Lepisosteus oculatus: one gene and its partners. The protein of the gene in region 3 interacts with the protein of the main gene of each other region in a biochemical or structural test. Links are inferred from orthologs where the notes say so. Each region holds a gene or a part of one and is shown on either strand. Other genes may lie near its edges.

The links. The genes of interacting proteins can lie anywhere in the genome.
Region 1: of the proteins of rb1 (region 3) and cdk9, one has a biochemical effect on the other in vitro, tested with the Homo sapiens proteins (4 studies listed by BioGRID, with this or other methods). The link is inferred for Lepisosteus oculatus from reciprocal best matches to the Homo sapiens genes RB1 and CDK9.
Region 2: of the proteins of rb1 (region 3) and cdk2, one has a biochemical effect on the other in vitro, tested with the Homo sapiens proteins (35 studies listed by BioGRID and IntAct). The link is inferred for Lepisosteus oculatus from reciprocal best matches to the Homo sapiens genes RB1 and CDK2.

Annotation. Positions count from the first base shown.
Region 1 is NC_090719.1:14,317,132-14,325,112, reverse strand, and holds the start of cdk9 (cyclin-dependent kinase 9), read right to left. Parts: upstream 3,034-7,981; 5' UTR 2,945-3,033; coding exon 2,904-2,944; intron 2,720-2,903; coding exon 2,606-2,719; intron 1,599-2,605; coding exon 1,517-1,598; intron 1,209-1,516; coding exon 1,118-1,208; intron 720-1,117; coding exon 553-719; intron 1-552. UniProt on the Homo sapiens protein: Protein kinase involved in the regulation of transcription.
Region 2 is NC_090696.1:15,129,419-15,137,143, forward strand, and holds the start of cdk2 (cyclin-dependent kinase 2), read right to left. Parts: upstream 3,034-7,725; 5' UTR 2,719-3,033; coding exon 2,603-2,718; intron 2,540-2,602; exon of another isoform or gene 2,289-2,539; coding exon of another isoform or gene 2,284-2,288; intron 2,276-2,283; exon of another isoform or gene 2,167-2,275; coding exon of another isoform or gene 2,156-2,166; intron 1,873-2,155; coding exon 1,795-1,872; intron 620-1,794; coding exon 499-619; intron 1-498. UniProt on the Homo sapiens protein: Serine/threonine-protein kinase involved in the control of the cell cycle; essential for meiosis, but dispensable for mitosis. Phosphorylates CABLES1, CTNNB1, CDK2AP2, ERCC6, NBN, USP37, p53/TP53, NPM1, CDK7, RB1, BRCA2, MYC, NPAT, EZH2.
Region 3 is NC_090700.1:17,210,621-17,217,998, forward strand, and holds the start of rb1 (retinoblastoma-associated protein), read left to right. Parts: upstream 1-4,282; 5' UTR 4,283-4,444; coding exon 4,445-4,569; intron 4,570-7,378. Other genes in the region: serine/threonine-protein kinase Nek3, read left to right, coding at 443-571, 1,492-1,609, 2,568-2,628. UniProt on the Homo sapiens protein: Tumor suppressor that is a key regulator of the G1/S transition of the cell cycle. The hypophosphorylated form binds transcription regulators of the E2F family, preventing transcription of E2F-responsive genes.

The DNA of each region.
Region 1 (7,981 bases), on a different chromosome or scaffold from region 3:
ACTTGGATATTTGGTGACAACTGACTGTGTTCATACTCACAGTAGCACAGTAGCACATACTCTGGGCATTCTGTCTTACAACTGAATCAGTGTATCACTATCAGTCCTAGTCATCTCTCAGCATGTGTTTCACTCTCCTATCAAGTGGAATTGAGGTTGGAGAGCTAGCAAGAACAGCATACCAGCTTCAAGTTTTATTGTCCTTAAGTAATCTTGTGTCGCTACAAATTCCCTGATAATACAGGGTGAAACGGTTTACAAACAAGATCTGGGATTCTTAGAAAGTTTCATATTCCACCACAACTGTCTAAAGGCAATCACAGCACTAAGAAAGCTAAAACATTGAAAACAACAGAAACAAACACATAAACCCTTTAGCATGCAAGGTTTTGAATTCTGAACGCAAAGTGTCTGTTGCATAACCAAGAGGGAAACGATTCAATGTTTTGTAAGTGTTAATGTAAAAACAAAACATTTCACAGAAGTCCATAACTATTTAATAAAGGTTTAGAAAGGAAATGATTTAAAAACAAAACAAAAAACAGTTCTTACCTTATTTCGGTGAATGTAATATAAACCATTTAGCAACATCTGCATGACTTTTTTGATTTCGGCCAAAGTAAACTTGACGTTGGCATTACTGAGTAACCCAGCCAAGTCATGTTCACAGAAGTCAAACACCAGGTAGATGCTGCCTTTGTATCGATTGTACTGGGTGGCTGGAATTAAAAAAAAAAACACTTTAATTTTCTTTTTATTGAATAAGCACATTAATTAAAAAATACTTATATTCTTAGATATTCAGTATTTCTATAAGAATACAATTTACATAGCCAATTCTGTTTGTTTACTACGACATCTATATATCAATAATCAAACTATTTTAGGTTATGCTACGTATGAGGTAACACGTAAGGGTTATTTTCATGCAAAATGTCAAAAGAAAACAACGTTTCGGGTGTTCTTAACAGCTTTACATCCTTTTAACAACTGAAAAGTGTTCACTTTTGTTTTCTACTCTTTAATAAAGATTTAATAAACCAATTTACGTATTTGCTCGTGCCCTATAAAAAAGTACACAGAAAAAAAACAACTTGATGAGTTTCTGAGGACTTACCTTTTGTTCTGCAGATCTCAATCAAATTCACTACATTCTCGTGTTTTAACAGCTGGAGGATCTTAATCTCTCTCAGGGCTGTAATGGGAAACTGAAGAAGAACGTGACAGTGAGTGCTACCTGCATTTCCACTTTTCAAGATTAAATGAATAGAAAATGCTGCTTAAAAATGGGAGCCAGGGAGATTTGTTCACTATGTTCAGTTTATAAAGTTGCGTATTTTTACAGTATCGTAATACAGAAGCAAGGATGACCAAAACAGTGGAATGACAGCATCGAATTAAAAGACAGGAATGAAGAGTACACGCTGGTTTTTCCATCTGCCTCTCTCTTTGAGCTTTTTTGTCTCGTCAGCACAATCTACTCAGTGACGGCGAAAAAGGAAAAAACGATTCTTACCCCTTCTTTCTCATTTTCCATTAGAACCTTCTTCAAGGCTACCTTCTTGCCAGTCTGCCTGTGCTTAGCTTTAAAGACCTCCCTGGGGACACAACACAAAACCTGCATCAAAAACCAACAAAATGCACTTCAAGTCTCCAACACCAGGAAATCCAACCGATTTTAAGATTTCGGATTACACACTGACTACAGTAATGTTTCAATAAAAATACAATATAAAATAAAATGACTTCATATAGGAGACATTACTATCTTTCTTACATCCAAAGAAGGCTCCACAGCCATACTATTTGTTTATTATTTTACCAAATCAGAACATGTTCCCCATATCGTGTGTGTGGAGTGGAATTTTTCTATTCAGCTGCAGTTGCTATCAAACGTACTCACCTCCCCTGGACTTTCTTACATTTTACTGCATTACAATATGGAATCAGAATGTATTTAACTGTGAGTTTTTACACATATGGGGCTTTCAAAATAAGCTTGGACAAATCCAAGAAAAATATCCCATCGTTATTGTTGATCGTGCGTTAGATGGCAACTGGACTGCTACACACCCGAGCACATCAAAATAATAATAATAATAACAACTTTATTTTATATAGCACCTTTAAAGGTGGCTTCTCAAAGCGCTTTACAGAATGACAACAACAATAAATAAGAAGAATACACATGATAAAACACAATTACAATATGTAGAGGAGACCGTGGATGCTGGAACTAAGAAAAGCAGAGGGGTGAAGAATGGAACAGTTAAGTAAAGGCTTTTCTGAAGAAGAAGGTTTTGAGTCTGGATTTGACGGAGTTTAGAGAAGGTGACTCTCTGATATTTTGAATTTTGGACACACTGCAGTTTGTTCAAAGTATATTTAGACACCCCAGCGAGTAGAGCATTACAGTAGTCAATTCGAGCGAACACAAACGTGTTGATCAGCTTTTCAGCCACAGTTAGTGACGGCACAGGGCGTAGTCGAGCGAGATTTCCGAGGTGAAAAAAAGATGTTTTGACAATATGCCGCACATGTGGGTCGAAACAATACTTTGGCGGAAACGGAAACGTTGAACGACGTGCGAGCAAAATAAACTTACCCAAAGGTTCCCTGCCCGATCTTGGCGAGCTTCTCATACTTGGAAAACTCATCGCAGAAAGGGAACTCGACACCATCATAATACTTCGACATCATCGCTGTCTCCCGCTCGGCCCTGAGAGAGAGAGACAAGGGAGACACGGAGCTCAGCCATCACCCACACGCTAGCGAGAGGTAACCCTCCTTCAGGCCTCAGATCTGCGTGATCCTACCCGGGAATCAACCGAATTTCACCTCCGACGGAAAATCTTAAGAAAGCGTTTGATCTTCGCCAAAAAAAAAAACAACAACGTCCTTACTTGTCACCACCACCCGAAGTCCCTGCTCTGTCACGCTGCATCCCGAGAGCTGCAGTACGCCTTTCCGCTGCCCTGTAGAGACTGTGCGCCGCAGTCCTCCGCAGAACGCGTTTACGGCAGCCGTTTCCCCGCACACTTCCGGTTGGTTGCCATAGCACGGGGCCCCGGGCTCAACCCGCGGGCGGGTCTATCGCCTTCTGATTGGTGAATCGGTGCCGTATGACTACACGGATTGGAAGTGCTGAAAACCGGAAAGCTGAACTGTGAGTGGGCGCTGGAGCTGTCCATCAACCGAGGAACCGGTTACGCAGATCCTTTATGAGTAATTACTCATTTACAGCCAGACCGGCGCAGTCAATTTATCGTCCATATCTTATTAAAGTAAAAAGTAAACGTTAACAATTTTTTAATACCCTCCTTATTCAGGTACGACACGCAGCAGGGAAAATTAAAGGAGGCCAGGTTGTGCAAAACCAAAACAGAGCTTAGCCCGGACACCGTGGTGAGCTTCTCTACTGTGATGAACAGTGCCGTGGCATGTAGTGGCTTTTAGTGCAAAATAAATAAGTTACAGTGTCCTGTTCCATTCAGTATATCCCTTGAAATCTGTTCCCGCTAGGAAACCCAATGGGATCTTTCATGACCAAGGGGTCCGGACCTCAGTTTAAGTTCTTGACCGAAGGACGGCGCTGTTACATGAAGCATTATATACATGAGCACTATTTTTTATTTACATTTTACGTTTTGTATACAAAAAAAAAATGGAAATGCAAGCATGTACATATACTCACACGTGCTGCAACACGACAGCACAAAGACAACGTCAAATGAACGAAGCAGAACAAACCACATCGATTTGAAGATTAAGTTAGGGGGTCACATTACATAAATTTATATGCTAGGAAATTTCTGTAAACCAGTTATCCAAGGGTGTTTTTAAATAGATTTTAAAGAATTTGTCTTTGAAGCACATAGAACTTTTACGAACTCTGTATTTAAACGTTTTCCAACATGAGAACGACGTTGAACATTAGACGAACTGTTGTTTTTTCCAGAACTCCATGAGCACACGATCACTAATCGAGGCACTGGTTCGGAATTAGTGGTTCAGAGGGAAGGTCGCCGTCTACTGGTGGAAGTTTGACACTGCTGAACTTTTACGCCATGAAATCTCATCCCAGTACTGAGCAAGACCAGCCGTGCTCAGCTTCTGACTTCCTCCTGCAGGAACTGACAAGACGATCAGAGTGGAAAAACAGACCCTATGCATGTATGATTTTTAAAGTTATTTTCTACTTTTTCTAAAGAAAATATTCTACATATACGTCGGTTCCCCCATTTTTACCGTACATGTAAAGCGTTTTGTGATCTTTTGAGATGAACGGTGCTATAAAACTCAAGGACATATTCATTATTATAGTCCATGTCATGGTGAATATTATAGTACAGACTCAACTGGACAGCCATAGAATTGGAGCAGAGAGAAACACAAAGGTCCTGAAAGGGCAAATTAGCCTCAGGGAGTTAATTAAATAAAATTAATTAAAGGTGAATTCAAGTAATTTAAAATAGTATGGGTATGATTACATCCTGTCTCATAGTCAACAGGCTATTTTGTATTGTGTGTTGGAATATCATGCATTGAACTTATTTTTAAAATACCTAGTAACAGATTTGTTTAAAATACGATAACTCCAAATCATTCACAGGGTAAATTCCGTGTTGCGTGAAGAGACCATGAGAAGCGTCAAGAGTTTGATTGGGCCTTTGGAGGTGTGAACCCTCCCTTCACCCCCTGGTACAGTCGCAGTTGTATTTGCATTTTAACGAGCCTTGTCCGGGGAACCTGTTTTCCTCCAGTTTTTAGCCTCTGAATTTCTACAACTGAGCACAAGTCCACCTATACTTTGTGACACTGGAGATCATGAGCTTTCGCACTGCTTTATATTGCTCCAGGAAATAATTGACAGTTAAATAAATGGCATTAAATCAGAAGGTTGAAGAAATAAGAGCATTATGACAATACCAATTTGTAATCTGTTGTATAGCGGTAGATCCTGTAGCAGAATGATTTCAGCGTTGGTCTCCATTTAGAATTACAGTACTGCTCACTTTGTTTTCCAGTTTGTGAAAATCCCAATTCACACTCTTTTGCTGCACTTTCGTATTGAGTAGCCGGGCTTCGGCACGGCGGGTGATAAGTGCTCAATAACCTCTGCACATGTGGATTTGGTGGGATGTTATCCTTATAGAGAAATGTGTTCATCCCCCCACAGTTTACACTAATGAGATTCACCAGTCAAACTGTTAAGCAGATTTAGCTTGTTGTTTTCGTGCTACCTTTCTCAATTTCCTTTAAGAAAGAAATCCTTGACTGAGAAGGTATCTGCATTCCTGCCCAAGAGCCAGCAGGATATCTAATCAGATTACAATCACAGTCTACTCTGGAATTTAAACTAAGAAGAGAGTTTTGCCCTTTTAACAATATATTCTGTTTATTTTTCCTCTCTGTCATTTGTCACTAAGATGATTAGGTGTCTGATCTTCCTCCCCTCTGAACAGTAAATCCTCACTGATCCAGCTATCCTGTTAGGACAAGTGCCCAAAGGGCCTGCCCACTGTGTCTATTGTCTGTCCCACATCTAAGGCTCTCGATGTGGGCTAATCTCATTTATTTGCTATATGTGTCAGAGAATGTTGTAACACCCAAAAGACTTCAAGGTCCTTTGCAGACTGTGATCAGCGCACAAGGGAAAAACAAAAGGCTTGAAGGTGCTAACTGGCGTCTGCAACTGTGGGACCCCGTCTTCAGCTCACCCACATGACACCAAGACTGAGCAATTTCCAACACCCAGTGCCCGAGGGGAACATTAACCACTGTTAATAGGGAAGGTTCATGCACATCTTCCACCTGTGTGCCGTTCACTTGCGGGCGTCTCCTCCGCACGTTCCAACCTGTGAATCGTGCGAGGCGGCTCTCTTCTCCACCTGTGCGAATGGTGAAAGACTGGGCAGGACCGTGCGCTCTCTCGTAGAGTCCTGTGCGGCGTTTCGCTTTTCTGTTTGTCCGGATGAGAGAGTGGTTCTGCCCGGTGAGAGGCGAGAAGAGGAGAATCGCGTCGTGTGGCCTCTGTAATGCTGCGGGCAAAGCATCGGAGTGCAAGGAAAAAGTCTGTCCTTGAAAATGATTCCACACGCTAGTGCTAACCCCAGAGTGGAGCTTCCATTAGGAGCACTATAGACTTTGGCTTATAATATCTTTCACTAGGCTGGCCTTCTGTCATCGAAACTGGCGTTCGGGTCATGAAAATGCTCGCAGCTCCACAGAGTGCCCAGAGATTCCCACACTTTGTGGCAGCATCTTTACTGTAGTCATATTCTGCAGTGGATGCAAGTCTAGACTATTTCTAGAGCTGCCGGTGCACTGTCCGTGTGTGTGGCGTATGCTGGTGTTCTTGCAACCAATCTTAAGTTCTCTTGAGACCCCTTTACATCTTTTGCGGGTAAGATCAATTCAATATATGTTCGGTATTGCTGCCTTCACAGCCCAGGAGCGCTTTCACAGATCGTTACTCGGGTGAACCACTAGGAGGCACTCTCTCCTCAGGACCACAGTTTCTAAACCAGTTTCACACTGAGCTGACTGGAGACACTGTACACTAGTAGGTTCCATACTTCACATGAGATGTTAAAACTAGTCCTAAATAAGTGGTCATATGGTACTTTTCGAAAGAGTTTGGGTGTTAACCCTGGTGCCCTGGCTAAATTGCACTAAAGTCTTGTACAGTCTGGCCTTCCTGAAGTTCCCCTGTATTCATTTGGGGAAGTGCTTTCTCATGCCTCCACGTGTAAAGCATTTTGTGATTTGCTGAGATGAACAACACTGCACTTTTTATCCATTATTGTAGCAGAAGTCATGAGTATAGTACAGGGCCAACTGAACAAACATTAGACATGGAGCAGAGAAAATCACAAAGCTCCCAAGTGGGAAAAATACATCTCAGGGAGTTCAAGTCCTAACGGTTAATTAAACTAATTTAAAACAGAATGGTTATGATTACTTCCTGTCTGATAAGCAATAGGCTATTTGTAGTGTGTTGGAATTATTATTTGAAATACGTAGTGACAGAGTTTGTTTGTTTTTAAATACATTTGATTGAAATAGTTTACAGATTCAGTTTTGTGTTACAGGCAGTGTCATGACAGGAGCTCGGCTGGGCCTTGCGAAGTGTGAAAAACACCCCCTCCCCCGCCTCCCTCTTGCATTTGCATCTTAACAGCGCTTTGTTTGGGGACCAGTGTGCCCCCTGGTGTGCCCGTCTCCATCCAGTTTTGGCTCTGAAACTGCGAATGTCTGACCGTTCACAGGGGCTGATTAGAACAGAATGCCTCATTGTCCTCTCCCTGCAGTCTTTGCCCAAGGCCCACAGTTCTTTTCATCTTCCCTTTGCAGTGGAAAGTCCCCACTTACTAACGTCTCTCTTCGTCCTTTTCCCTAAGGCCTGCAAGGGTCTTCCCCTAGGTCTCCCTGACTCCCCACTTCGGGTTATTTAGATTGATCCACACTCCTCTTTCATAATGGATGCCAGAAGCCAAAGCAGAAGCTGTGTTTTTCTGTTCACTCCTGTGACTTCCAGCCCGTTGTCATTCCCTGATAGGTCAGCGCTGTCCTAGCTTGCAGAAGATGGACAGTGTTGTCCCGGTTCATCCACACTGCCGTGGTAAAGGGCTCTTGTGTTTGCTCAGCTAAGCATGAGTCCCAGGCTCCTAGGGGCATCAGAACCCCAGTCTGATGAAGGAGTGGAACCTGTGCTTGACCGGGCTCTTTGGTGCCTGGCACAGGTTGTAGAAGAAGATAATTTAAGATCACTTTATTGGCCATATACAATTTCTTGCATTAGGAATTTGTCTTTTTGCAGACCCCAACTTGCTCTCCATGAGACACACACACGGGGAGAGAAGCTTGGGGTCAAAGCGCAGAGTCAGCCATTTATACGGCGCCCCTGGAGCAGTTGGGGTTAAGGGTCTTGCTCAGGGGCCCAACAGAGTAGGATTCCTCTGCTGGCCGTGGGATTTGG
Region 2 (7,725 bases), on a different chromosome or scaffold from region 3:
GCAGATCACATTGGAACATTTCTGAGGTGAAATATCCACTGTACAACCTGTATTTATTTGATTGTACATCACACTACATTAGTCATCAGGGTGACTAGTGAGCAGGAAGGGCCCCTTCACGTCACAATTCATGTGAATTCGCATGCGAGTTTGCGTCAACATGGCGACTTACAGTACTCTCACAAAGTTCACGATTTTGTGCTTGATTCTAAATTTGTACATTTTGTTCTGTAACGGCAAGGAATTTTAATTTGGTTCCCCTTTAAGAGCATGACTCGAGTTCCAGCTCAGGGAGAGAGACAGAGTCTCAGGATGTCGGCGGCAGTGAGTGTCGGTCAGCTCAGCCCCGTGCCTGGTGGGGCTCCCTGGGGATACAGCACTGTCGGGGGGTGTCTGCCCCGGACTGACCCCAGGAGGAGGAGGAAGGAGCGCCTATCCCAGAAGAGGAGTCAGGTCCGTCTCTCGCCAGCATGGCCGCACTCCTGACACTTGCCGTACCTTGACCAGCGGCAGGGCGATGCCCGTGACCGGCGTGGAGTCCATGAACTTCTTGAGGTCCTGGTGCAGGAACTCGAACACCAGGTAGAGCTTGTTCTCCGTGTGGATGACATCGCGCAGCCTGCGGGGGAGAGCAGTCACGTCAGCACGGACAGCGGCCCTGCTGCCGGGCCTGCGGGCCCAATCGGGCCGCACACGAGGCAGACAGAGAAAGGGAGAGGCACACAAGGACAGAGGCAAACGGAGACAGAGGGCCTGGGCAGAAACAGGACAGACGAAACTGCACACTGATTAGTACAGATCTGCACAGGAAGACACACACTGCACACTGCCCTGCGCACACACACTGGGTGCACTGCACGCACACTGGGCACAAAGCAACACACACTAGGGGCACCACACGCACACTGGGAACACACTGCACGCACACTGGGCACACACTGCAAGCACACTGGGCACAAAGCAACACACACTGAAGGCACCGCACGCACACCAGGCACACAGCACACACACTGAAGGCACTGCACCCACACTGAGCACACACTGCACAGACACTGGGCACACCAGGCACACTGGGCGCACGGCAAACAGACCGGGCACACAGCACGCACACAGCACACACACTGAAGGCACTGCACCCACACTGAGCACACACTGCACAGACACTGGGCACACCAGGCACACTGGGCGCACGGCAAACAGACCGGGCACACAGCACGCACACAGCACACACACTGAAGGCACTGCACCCACACTGCACAGACACTGGGCACACCAGGCACACTGGGCGCACGGCAAACACACCGGGCACACAGCACACACACTGAAGGCACCGCACGCACACAGGGCACACAACACACAGCACACTGGGCACAGCAGACACTGATGGCACCGCACGCACACCAGGCACACAGCACACACACTGAAGGCACCACACGCACACCGGACGCACTGCCTGGGGACTCAGCAGAGCAGGGAGAGGGACCGGGGAGTCTATTTACTTTCTTCAACGTGCTCATTCAAGACGGGGAACAGGAGATGCTTCTTTACACAAAGAGCTGTGGGTGTCTGGAGCAGGCATCCCAGCCACATGTCTGACATTTATTGTTCCTTTACCTAGTAAACAACCAGACAAGCAAGGCAGGCAGGTAGGCCAAACGGCTTCCTATCATTCATGATCTCTCTTACAACCGCTGACATACACAAGCTGACAGCTGCACACACAACACCGACAGCAAGCAATAACACCAACAACCTGCCCCCCGCTCCCCGAACCCCTCACTTCCACGGACTCACTTGACAATGTTGGGGTGATTGAGTTCCTTCAGGAGGGAGATCTCTCGGATAGCAGTGCTGGGGACTCCCTCTGTCTCCCTGAAACACACGCAGTGAGCGACACCACGCTCAGTGACGACCAGCAGGACCCCCAACACTCGACAGAGCAACAACAGCTGGGGGACAGGCACCGATCCCAAGCACCTCAGCCAGAAAGGACGGGGCTCAACCCTGGCGGCCTCAGCCTGGCCTGGCTCAGCACCCTCTACATCAGTAGATACACATTTTTTCCCCAGATCAGAAACCCCCCCCAAAAAACACTTAGTTAACTCAGGACTTAAAGTAAACTCGTATAAAACAACAAGTAAAAATAAGAACACACCACGTCTGCATGGCTTCAATTAAGACTGAAGATTAAAACAAAGACAGGAGCCGGTTCATAGACACACAGCACAGCGGACACATCACAGCCCCAGAAAACTATACACAAAAGAAAGGGACTGAAGTCACCGCATGCCCAAGTCTTGAAGTTCACTCGCTCCGAGCGGCTCGGTCTCCGGTGAGTCCACAGGGTTTATAAGGCGCTTCCGTGACGTGGACGAGCCACCGAGCACCAGAGCGCTGCGTCTCAACCCCCACACGGAGGACCCGGACCCGGACCCGGACCGGACCACAGATGCCCCGCGGGCGCCAGACGGGTGGCAGAGGAGAGGAGCTCCGCTTCGGGCGGCCGCGCGCTCACTCGCTCGCCCGCCCGCCCGCACGCGCGGCGCGCAGACGCCGTAAGGAAACACGCGCGCGCATCAGCAACAGGCTGGGCTCGACTCACGTATCTAGCCGGATCTTCTTCAGCGCCACCGTCTCGCCTGTCAGCTTGTTCTTGGCCTTGTAGACCACCCCGTAGGTCCCCTCGCCGATCTTCTCCACTTTCTGAAACGACTCCATGGTTCCTCCCCGCTCTGTGCCTCCACCCACCCCCAGCCCCCCAAAAAAATCCCTTTTGTTGGCCCGAGTGTCTCTGCCGCCGCTGCCGCCGCCGTCTGACCAAAAGACCGACACTCGCTCGACAAAGAACTTCTACGAGCACTTGCCGGGGGTTTGTGGCTGGAGACGGTCCGCCCGGTACCGATGGGGGAACACGAGAGGGGCCCCAAAACCAAAAAGACCCTCCAGCATTGACCTGTAACCCTCTCCCCCACAGCCCAGAAAACGGAAAGTAACTGAAAACCGCCAATTCCCGCGTTGAGGACGCCCCGCCCTCGGCTCCAAACCCCGGCGCAAGACCCCGCCCCTTTGTTATTTCGGCGTTCAATTGGGAAAAAGCTACCAGGCCACGCCCACTTGGGACCGAGTCACGCCCATTGTTGGACGTAACCCCGCCTCTTAGCCCGGACGTCCCCGCCCTCCACCATACAGAAGGACAAAGCGAGGCCTGTCGCTCCGGAAGAAGTGCGGAGCTGCATATCAACTTAAAGGCAGCAGTAGGCACCCGTAGCAACCCGCCTCAATTCAAATTTCACTTTCCCGAAGTGCAGTTGCTGTGCTCCACCACACCGAAAATCTCGTTCGAAAATTTCAGCTCGCAGTCTGTCTGTGACAGCACACGCTGCAATCCTCTAGTACACTGCACAAGCTGTTGAAAGGTGTTCTGATTTGTTATATTTTTATCGGGGGATTATCAAAGTATTATGTATAGTAGTATTTGCTCTTGATTTGTTTCAGGGATGAATGTGAGAATTAAGATGGACACAAATCTGGTATGCAAAAACCATAATTACGTCTTTGAAACATAATTTAGGGATCTCAAATATTTTGAAAGAAAAAGACCAAACACTGCCTCCCTCTCTCTCTCCCAGTGTCTCAGCTCTAACCACTAGCCCACACTGCCTCTCTCTCTCCCAGTGCCTCAGCTCTAACCACTAGCCCACACTGCCTCCCTCCCTCACTCTCCAATCTCCACCTTCACACCAGTCACACTTTGCCGTTTCTGAGCAGATGTGTGACTGTCATGCAGATGGGATCCCATGAGCACATGTGCAGCATCAGACAGATATCATAGTCTGTGCCCCCCCACCACCCCCTGTCTCGGAGGGACATTGCTCCAGGTCTTCCCAGTGGACTCTGAACATGCAGCTTTGTTGCTGAATCCTTGGGTGCAAAATCCCATCGCAGTCGGAGTCACAAGAGCTCCCATAATCCTGATTAACTCCACATTCCACACGCGATTTTGTGCTTCCCCTCATGTGGAGGTTTTCCGTCTGCAAGGATACTCTACTCTGCAGGGATAGATCACTATAACTCTTCACACTCACACTGCTGCCTGCGCAGCTACAATAGAGCAGAGATAATCAACACCGTTCGCTTTTACAGTATAGATCCACAGTGTTATGAAGGTGTTATTAAACCTTAGCCATATAGGGATGTGTAATTATGAACCTTTTGTTCTTGTAACTTTTTTACATGTAAGATGTAAGGTCCATCAAAATCCATGTGTCATTTAATTATAGATACATTTGATAATATTGTTAAGACTTAAGAGCCCATAAAATTAAAAACCAACGGGTTTACGTAACTATAAGGGGGGCACAGAGAGTGTTTTTAGTTTCAATTTGTAAATACAGGTTTAGGTTTCTTATTTCTTTCTATTTTGGATGTGGTGGTAATGGCAGGTCAGGAATGATCGACTGGTGTTATGAATGATTTTAGATTTGTATGAAAAAAAATGCCTCAACCCATCGAAACACAAATCCCAAATCTGCAGCAATACTCTTTGACCCTCAGCCCCTGTAAAACTCTGGAGCGCTTCTGTAACAGCTCTCGAGATTAAAGTTTCATAAGAACCAATTACCCCCAGACAGAACTGACCTCTCTGCCATAATCTCTGAACCTGGCTGGACCACTGGGCACGAGTCTCCGGCCTGCACCAGAGCCGGTCGCGACGAGGGCAGGCTGAGTGAGCCATAGCATACCAGGCTCACCGGCTCCAGCACTGCCCTTCAGGGGCACCGGTGCTGAACATCGGGGTACCAGAAACGTTCTGAGGCAGGAATTAAAGGAGATGCCAGAAGCTCGTCACAGTAATCTCATCACAATGGGTCCTCTAGAAAAGCAGCAGAGTTCAAATTCAGGCAGGGCGACGCCTCACGCTGATAAAGACATAAGGCTTCCCTTACAAAAGGAGTACAAAGACTTAAAGGGAATTTACCTAAAATCTAAAGATTTAAATAAATAAAGTCCCTTTATTGATTTGTATAGTGCCTTTCATGCCAGAGTCAGCTGTGGTGTGGCGCAGTAAAGCATGGAGTGAGCATAGCAGCCCTACAAGAAACTGTAGTAAAAGTCAGTATGGAAGTACAGTAACAGCGCAGGACTGTCAGGGAGAACACGGGGTGAGAAAATCTTTCATGAGGAACAGTATCAGTGTGCAACAGTCCTGTTACATGAGTTCATAAGGTCTTTGCAGAGCCCAGAGATTTAGGCAGAGTGGTATTTCTAAATGGTCAGGTTCTTCTGGGAACAATATCATAAGACTCCATTCTTGTGAGTCTCACCCCTGCTATTCTTGCAAAAAATGCCATTAAAAGCACTGTACGTTTCAACACAAAATCAGCTTGTGCACAACCCAGGTGAGGAATAATCGAACCTTCACCTCCGTTCACTTTCCTCAAAACCCTGCTGCAGATCAGCTCCCGCAGGATGTTAGGAGTATTCATTTATTGTCCAAATCATCCTTCCTTCTCCGAGTCCGGGGGCAGCCCAGGCAGGTTGGCCGGGGTGGGGGGGTGGGATTAAAAGGGCTCATTGTTAAGGGCTCCTGCAGCTTGTCTTGTGACCCCCCTCGCGCAGCTCTGTCAGGGCTGTGTGACTCAAGAGCTCACACACAAGAGCTCCTGAGCCGAGCGCTTTGTGAGGAGGCCTACCAGCATTCGTGGTTGTATTCATCAAGCACATGAGCAGCTCAGTGATGCTGCAGGCAGGGGCTTGGGTGCTTCAGTCTTGTTACGCGTGAGTTTGTAAGGTCTGTGCAAAGCCCAGGAATTCAGGGAAAGAATTTCTTAAAGTTCAAGTTCTTCTGTTCACACTGTCCTATGACACAGCATTTTTGTAAAATTACCTCATTATAACTATATATATATAAAAATAACTATTATGAGCCCTGTTAATTTCAACATAAAGTATTCAGAAACTGTTTCTTTGGATCTGAATTTTAATCCTCAAGGACACCAAGTCTGCAGGTAAAAATAGCAGAGAAATGCACCATTTTTCTCTTGGTCTTTGTTAGGTCTTTGGCGAAGTGTCATGCAATTTTGGAGTGCGACACTGACACGTGTCCCCCTGTCACTACTTCCTGTCCGAGTCTGCGGAACCCTCTTCAGGGCACGTGTTTTCTAAGGGACAGCTGGCGAACGTGGCGCAGGTCTTGGAGGAGCAGAGAAGGGCACACAGCGTGTGTGATGGCTCTGGCAGCAGAGACTGGAAACGGGGTTGTTACAGACATCATCCCTGCAGCACACCCCTGCCACAGCCCACTGTAGTGAGATTTAAACAGGACAAACGAGCAATCTGACTTTGAGCAATCTGCAGTCTGCAATATTGCAATCTGACTGTCTACTGATCTTTCCAAAAATGTTAAATGTGTCACTTTTATAAAAAAATACTATAGTAAAGCACATGTGGACCAGAGTTTCTAACCAGTGTCCCAGTATGCTGACTGGTGACAGTGTGCTGTTGGAGGCTGAATGAGATGGGCACATTAAAAATCTCCTGGTGTTTTTCCTAACCATGGGGTGTGAACCCTGGTGCCCTGGCCTAATTCCGCTCTGGGACTGTAGAGTCTGACCACACCCAAGTTCCCCCTAACCCAGCCACTGAAGCCGTTTCTGACCTGCTGTACAGCTGGACTGCTGTGTGTCGCCCAGGTGGAGCTGCTGATGAGTCCTGTCTTTCGGGATGAAGACATAATGGAAATAATAATAATAATAATAATAAACTTTATTTTATATAGCGCCTTTAAAGGTGGCTTCTCAAAGCGCTTTACAGAATGACAACAACAATAAATAAGAAGAATACACAAGATAAAACATAATAACAATATATAGAGGAGAGCGTGGATGGTGGTACTAAGAAAACCAGAGGGGTGAATAATGGAACCAGTTCAGTAAAGGCTTTTCTGAAGAAGAGGGTTTTGAGTCTGGAGTTGAAGGAGTTTAGAGAAGTTTTAGAGAAGTTTAGAGAAGTTTTGACTCTGATATCCTTGGGGAGAGAGTTCCAGAGCTTGGGGGCATAACAGGAGAAGGCCCTGTCACCCATACAATGTAGACGGGCTTGGGGGACAGTAAGGAGAGCAGAATTAGAAGAGAGAAGGTTGTGAGGTGGGGAACAGGGCGATAATAGTTCAGACAGGTACTGAGGTGCCAAGCCACGCAGAGCCTTATAGGTGAGCATGAGGATTTTAAAGATGGGATTTGACCGGGAGCCAGTGCAAGGACTCCAGGATAGGAGTAATGTGATCATTTGCACTAGACCTGGTCAGGATTCTGGCTGCTGAGTTTTGGACATACTGCAGTTTGTTCAAAGTAGATTTAGGTACCCCAGCAAGTAGAGCATTACAGTAGTCAATTCGAGAGAACACAAATGTGTTGATCAGCTTTTCAGCCACAGCTAGTGATAGCATAGGACGTAGTCTAGCAATATTTCTGAGGTGAAAAAAAAGATGTTTTGACAGTATGCTGTACATGTTGGTCGAATGTTAAGCTAGAATCGAATATAACCCCAAGGTTTTTCAATTAAGATTGAAGCTCAAGTACAGAACCATCTACAGATAGGGTTACAGGACTGGCTTTAAGAAGTTGATGGGGGGTGCCAATAAGCATGACTTCGGTCTTGTCGCAGTTAAGATGAGGGAAGTTTTGAGTCATCCAAATTTTTATGTCAGAGATGCAATTAGATAGA
Region 3 (7,378 bases):
TTTGCTCTCTGGGATCTTTAAGCACAGTTTGGCATCTCTTCCAATCTAAAAATAATTTGTAACATTGTTACTATTTTATCTTGTTGACTTCTGAATTATGTTTTTGCAAATAAATCCATATTTACTCTCTGTATGTGAGTACCCTTGAAGTGCAAAAAAAAAGGACCAGGATTTGAAGCCTGGGGCGTTTCTGCAGTGCTGACACATTGTGCACTTGGGCAGTGTGTTGAATGAGATTGTAAACAATACATTTCTTCAGAAAGGAGGAGAAAGATATTTGAGAAACATGGACAGAATATGTTGTATGAGTGAGCAGTGTGTTAACAGGAGAACTGTTGGTCGTTTAACTTCTCTTTTCCTCAGAATGGTAAGAATCTGGAATGGTAATGTTCAGCACTCTTTGTCTACAGTGTCATGACTGTGGTGTGTGTCTGAATCTCAGGAGGTCTTGAGTATCCCCGTTCCCGCCCTCGAATGCAGTGGGTGAAGAAACCACCAGAGCGACTGCTCAGTCTGCTGGAGAAGGCTCATCTCAGTGAGGCATTCAAGACGTACACTGTGTGCAGGCCAGGTGAGACAGAGAGATGTGCAGAATGGGCTTGCAGCAGGCGAGTAAGGTGGGCGCGGAGAGGTGCAGAGGAAGGTGTGTCGATTTCAGTCCCAGAAGAGGAGTGCAGACTCACTGAGCTTTCTGTTTGATTTGTACTTAATAATTAAAGATGTGTGATGTAAACATTTTGGACTCCAGTACTCAGAAACAGTGACCCCCACCAAAGAAAATATACCAGAAGATAAACCAGTTGTATTGTAAAAGAAAAAAATACTTACAAATACAGGGTCAGATTTTGTTGTGTTGAACATGTTTTGTGGTTGGGACTGTTTAAACACATAATATGAATCTATAAGATATTTTGGTAGAAGTGCAACACAATAAGTAATTGAGATTTAGGCTTATAAAATATTGTATTTAATTCTAATAAATAAAATAAACAAGTAAATCACAACAAGGTCAGTCACTAGGGTCAGTCACAGATTCTTGAATCCCTCATTGTCGTCCGGATACCTAGTCACTGGTCTTCTTGCTATTCTTACAAATTATGCTTTCTGAAATAGAGGAAAGAAAACAGGCATAGTGCTATTCTTGGTTATTGTTGGGGCTTCCTTGCTAGCAGGAAGAATACTTTGTGTTTACTCCATTAATTCCCCAATTTTTAACAGTTTTCTATATTTACATTTTCTGCATAACATTTTACTCCTCCCCAATCTGGAACTGTCAGTTGTGTCTCTACACTTGTCTCGGCCCACAGTGACATCTTTTGCTTTTAAAATCCAGTTGGTTTTTCGGTGAGGACCACGGAAATGGTAATTTAATGAGCTGCTAGAAAGTAAATATGTTGGGTGTGCTGATTGACCTCTCTTTCCTCATGTGTAACCTTTTGTTCTTATAAATCAACGAGGCGGTTTTTTCTTTCTTATTTTTTTGTACCCCAGCCAAATTTAACCCTCTGGTAGGGCCCCTGACACGGGGAGGTTGTGATGACACAGATGGGGACATAGAAGATAGTGTGGATTCCTACCGACTGGAGCCACGCTCTGATGATGAGGACACGTGAGTCTCTATACAGTCCCTGTCACTCATAACGGCACACACTCCCTCCATTGGCTGGCTAGTACTTGGATGGGAGATTGGAAGTAATAAGAAACTGCCTTAACATGGTATGGCAACTGAGAACCTTGAAGAATAAGCTTTTTGAGGTTCTTAAACCTCAGTCTTGAACTTGTGCTATGTGGTAATAGGTTATTCTATTAATCCACAGGAAATCCCCATTTTTAGAACACCCCTGCTTTCTGCTTTCTTGACTAAAACACCATAGTGCTGGCAACTTCCACAGTACTTCCTTGTGCTGCTTATGTTCTCATAGTGCAAAAGAGTTAGGTTTGCACTTGAGGATTTGTGTACATGGTCTAAAGAATGATGAACAAATCTGAAAGAAGATCATTTCCTCTTCTCAACTCAGGTTGAATTGTCGACAGTCCAAATGTTTTGCTTCATACTTGCAGGTTGAATTTTGTAGAAAATGTCCAGGGTGTCTTACTGCTTCAATATCCTTTGATATAGTTTGATTTTTACCATCCTGTGGAAAGGGTATCCTTTGAGGTCTCTGTGAACTTAAGTTGGGGCTCAGATGATTGTTTCACTGTGAAATATCCCTAGGGTATTCTGTTTTAATTTTGGGCAGATGTGTCAATTATAGATCATTCAGACAGTTTTCATTATATTTATAATGCCTGGATAAAGTCTATTTTTCATTCATTCTGCTTTAGCTTTCTTCATGCTTTCCTCCTTCATACTCTACATGTATATTACAACACAGGAAAAAATACTAGCAAGTGACATTATGTCCATCCTGTTTCTTTTATTGGCTGTAGGTCATGACAGCTATTGTTAATATTACTTTTAAGGCCCTGCATTAGTTGCCAAGGCCACAAACAACCTTTTCTGTGAATTTGTGTGTTTGTAACATTTTAACATATAACTGACTTACAGAAGCTCTTGTCATTTTCAGGGATTTTGAAGAGGAAACATTCTCCGACTGGGTGACAGAACTAGAGAAGATTTCCAAGTAAAACAAATGTGACACAGCCATTGCAAACTCTCCTACATTGAATAAAATATTAACTATTTTTCAAAATACCATGGTGTTAACATCAGGTTAACCTGCTTGTTAATGATCTAATTAAAGAAACAGATAATACAAATGTATTTAAATATAATATTTTCATTATGTAAATAAATAATACTGGTGTTATTATTTTGAATGAACAAACCAACAGAATTGGATATCACTGTGTATGAGCCTCATTTTCTTCCCCTGTTTTCCCTGAACTGCCAGCAACTGCAATATGATATAAACTGGCAAAATTTGATTATTTTTAAATAAGATTTATGATCACAATGTGCCAAAGTGCGTTTCATTTGTCTTTTCAAAATCCAGCTTTAGGTTTGAATTTTATTTCAAACTTTGCTACCACATCAGTTTTTGAATTGATTTTCAATAAATACTGAAAATGTTGTTGGTCTCTATGTAATTATTTGCAACTGATGTTCTTCCTCCAGTTGTCATTGAGATTTTGTTTTGGAATTTCTCATTTCTTCTCTTTTGCTTTTATTTTTTGCATTATCAAAGATATGCTTGTTTATGAGAGACAGATTATGTTATGTGTTCTTCTGTGATTTGTGTGGTGCCTTGTCAGCTTTGTGAGATGTGTCTTTTCTTCCTCTTTGTCAAAAACGTTTATACCAGGTGAGAGACTGTGAAAATTCAAGCACCCAGGTTACAGGTCACAATCTCAATCTTACTATCAGAAGACCCCTTTCATAACTGTCCTGAGGCCCAGTGTTTTCTTCAAAGTAGCAAGAAATGAATATTTCTTGAAAGAATGTAAACAATGAAAACCAAGCACCAGCATCTGTCTAGCATAACAGGTTACAAATATTATGAAATGTAAGAAACAGAACAGGTCAAGAATAACCAAACCTACAAATGTGAAAAAACTGGGGTTGATGTAGTCTTTTAATAATTTTCATTACACTTTAACTGGTATATAGTTTTACATAAGGAATTTAAAATAATTTAAAATGCTTTGCAGTATCATTCTGTGTGCAATATACATAACAGAAACGTTTTCCAAATATATCAGGAACCACTGAAGAATTAGATTTATTCTGGGTAAATTCTGATTAAAATTAATGTTTTATATTAATTTATATTGTTTACATATAAACATTATCCAAAGTATAACATTTACACAAATCCACAAAATATATATTTACTGCTTGGATACAGAGAACAATATCATATGTTTTGAAATAATTATTTCATTTATATGACCGTGCAGTACAACGGCAGAAAAATAAATATCATGTGTTAAAGATTTTGCGGGTACCTGTTTTCAAAACTTCCAAGTGTACTTCACGACTCTCATGTGCCATAATTTAAAAGGGGGAGGACCGTGCTAGATTTCAAACAATTCCACGGCTTTTTCAACAAAATAACATGTCTCGTCCGGAGCACTACAGAGTTTTTTTTTTACACTTTGGTTTATGTTTACATGTAAACAATACCAATTTATTATGTAAACAAATAAGTTTAACTTTTTCTTTCATTCTTACGACTGTTACAAAATGAGTTACAAGTTTCTTTCTCTGGCCAGTGGCTAAATGTCACAGGAAGTGACGGAGCAGGGAGGGAGGATATTTCGCAGTTTTCCCGCGGTTTAAGTGCCCTCTGAATCAGTTGAAACCAGAAGTACTTCTTGTCAAACGTGTAGGGGGGGGGATTTAATACTAACAAACAAAAAAGTATCCAAAGACAAAGACGCCGATTCCAGGAGTGGTTCTCCGCTATTACACTTGCACTCGGATCTTGTTAAAGCCATTGACATGCCTCCAAAGAGACGCAGCGCAGCTCCGAGCGCTCAGCTTTCTAAGGCTGCGGAGGATAAACACACCAACCGCGTCGGTGTCCCCGGGACGCCGGGTAGGATCCCCCAGCTCTCTCTTGAAAGGTAACAGCAGATGCCAAGAAATCGAAAATCTCTCTTGTTTCACGAGGAAGAGCTGGGTTTACTTGACCAGCTGTCATGCTGCGTGTAAACCTTTTGAGAGTGTGTAATGTAGGACCCGTTATGTTTGCCTTTGAGCCGCGCAGAGATTTAAGTCTCATGAATGAGGCTGACACTTGGGTTTTTCTGTTCTACTACTCATCTTCCGTATGCAAGAGGTGCAGGTACTACGCGATGTTTTTATTTCGTAGATTTCTTTCCCCTTTAGCCGGTGAAAAAGATTCCGTTTTTGTTTCCTGTGTTTGTCAAATAGGTTCCAGTCCTCATCAATTATACATTTTCGTCTTTGCTCCGGCCAAACAGACGTTCTTTACGTGTATATGCTTATGATAGATGGAGTTTAAAGTTTAGAAAGATATTCAGTCCCAGTTTGTGTTTAGTATGTAGGTGGATATCATGGCTGAAATATAACTAAAGTACGATAGCGTAAACTTAGTTTGTGCAGAGCGTTAGATCAGCAAAATGCACATTTAAACCTCAATATGAAGTCTCTAGTGTTTATAATGATATTTTAACCCAGCGCTTCATAGTCCTTTCCATGTTAAGATATGCCTCTTGTAAGATTTGTAAGTTAGATCACTTTTAGTGAGAATGGAGCTTCCTTGTGACCCACTGAAGTTTCTTAAAGATCAGAGAGGCTTCAATTACTTATTCTAGAAATCTATTTATAGATTTAAATACTACAATATTGTTAAAAAGCTGTCACCCACACCCCTTTGTGTTAGGTTCCTCCTGTTCTCAATTTTAAATCTACTGACCGTTTGTATTCTCTGATTAATGTTTTATTGTTGATTCTAAAAAAAAAGTCCAGTAGGTTGTCTTTGTCAGTGCCTATTGAGGACTGTCTTAATTCGATACTAAAGCAATGGTCTTGATGCCAGTCAGATGTGAAAATACAACCCACTAGGATATTGCTATCAGGATCATTGTGATTGCACTGCATCAGCAGTTTAGGAAGCTTATTCTGGCTTTGCATGTTTACACATTTCTTTTTGCTCTGTTCTATATTCTGTCTCTATTAATTAACTAACTAAATGTGTGGTCTTTATCAGTTTATAGGGAATGTACTTGTAGGACATTAGCATCAATGTCAAAGTTTCTCTGGACTTCATGAATAAACTATCACTTTAGTCTAATTCTTACAGTGTGAGGATATTAAAAAATCTTGGACACTTTAGCACTTAACCACCTGTGTAGAATAATGTAATGACTTGATAATCTGCCTTATATGTGTACATCAATCGAGCAATATTTATTGTGTTAATTACAGCTTAAATAAGAACACATGGCACAAATTAATATTCCACTCCATAATAATAAAATAGTAAATAGGCAAATCTGCTTCATTGCTAAATACTACAAGACGTTTCCGTTATCTGTTGAGGCTTAAATACTGCCATCAAACCAAATTATTTAACACTGAGAGGAAATATTGCTTTACAGCTTCACATAAGACTAATAAACAACTGAAGGGGAAGTGTTCAGATCAGGAATTTAAAACTGTCATAGTATGCAAGCTGCCCCTGTACAAAACAAGAAGACTGAGAAGCAAGCACGGAAAAAAAATCATTAAGTTGAAAGGACTCTGCATGGAGCTCTGTTTATAACTATTCTTAATACACCTTTAATGATGCATCATTTCACGCCACCATACAATAAAACTTTTGAAAGAGACAGGTAACCATAAGTTAATACAACTAAAAGCTAGAATGTAAAAGTGAGTGGTCTGATGTGGACTGGGCGATCATTCCGCAGATGACGACAAAAAGTATTTTCTCTGAGCACCAGAAGGAAAAGCATAGATTAGATAAGATTTAATTGACCCATGCAGGAAAAAAAGGGAGAAGAAAAACAGCACATTTGACTATTACAAAAAATAAGAAAAACATTGCTCATTATACTATTAAAAAAAAAGCAAAACATTCCGCATCATTCTATTGCACAGTATAACACATAACAACATGTAACATTTATAACACATCACAAAAACATATTGCACTCAAGTGGGTGGTAAGAGTCAAAATTGTGTTTATCCGTGACATTTGCATTGACAGTATTAATGGATAGTGGAACAAAGGAATGTTTGTATTGGTTTGACATGCTGCTGAACTTTGGAGCAAACACTCTCAACATGAGTGACCCGCACAGGTAACGGTCTATGTGTACACCTAAGTATTAATATGAGTCAACCTGAGTGATAAGTTTGTTGTGGATTACTACCTGTAAGTGATCAACTGTTCTGGGATCAAAAACTATTTCTTTTTAGATCTAGATCTCCAATTGTTCTGAACATCAGCCTCTCACTTGGTACTGAAACAAGGCCCGTGTCCAAAAGGGGCAACCGATGTGTGTTTTCAAAGGATTAACGGTTCACAGGTGTAGTTAGGAGCCCAAGCTTTCGTCCCCTTTAAGGTGATGAGGAGCGTTTAGAACTTATCCATTTCGGATATGTTCGGGGAGGTTAAAACAGATAATTAATTCACATGCATTTTACTTTTGGTTAAAGTTGACTAACTGTAGTGAGGAGCATATTTTATGTACACTGAATCAGTGGATTTATCCTCCATCACACTTTTTTAGTAAGACTGTTGGTCTTGAAGGTAATTGAAGCAGTTTTGTGGTCAGACAAAATTCTCCTTGTGTAAAACTGTTACATAGGTTGGGATGCTTAGTTCTCACTGTCAAGAGACTGTAGGCTGTTTCTGTAGCTTATTAATTCATAATAATAATAATAATAATAATAATAATTGCT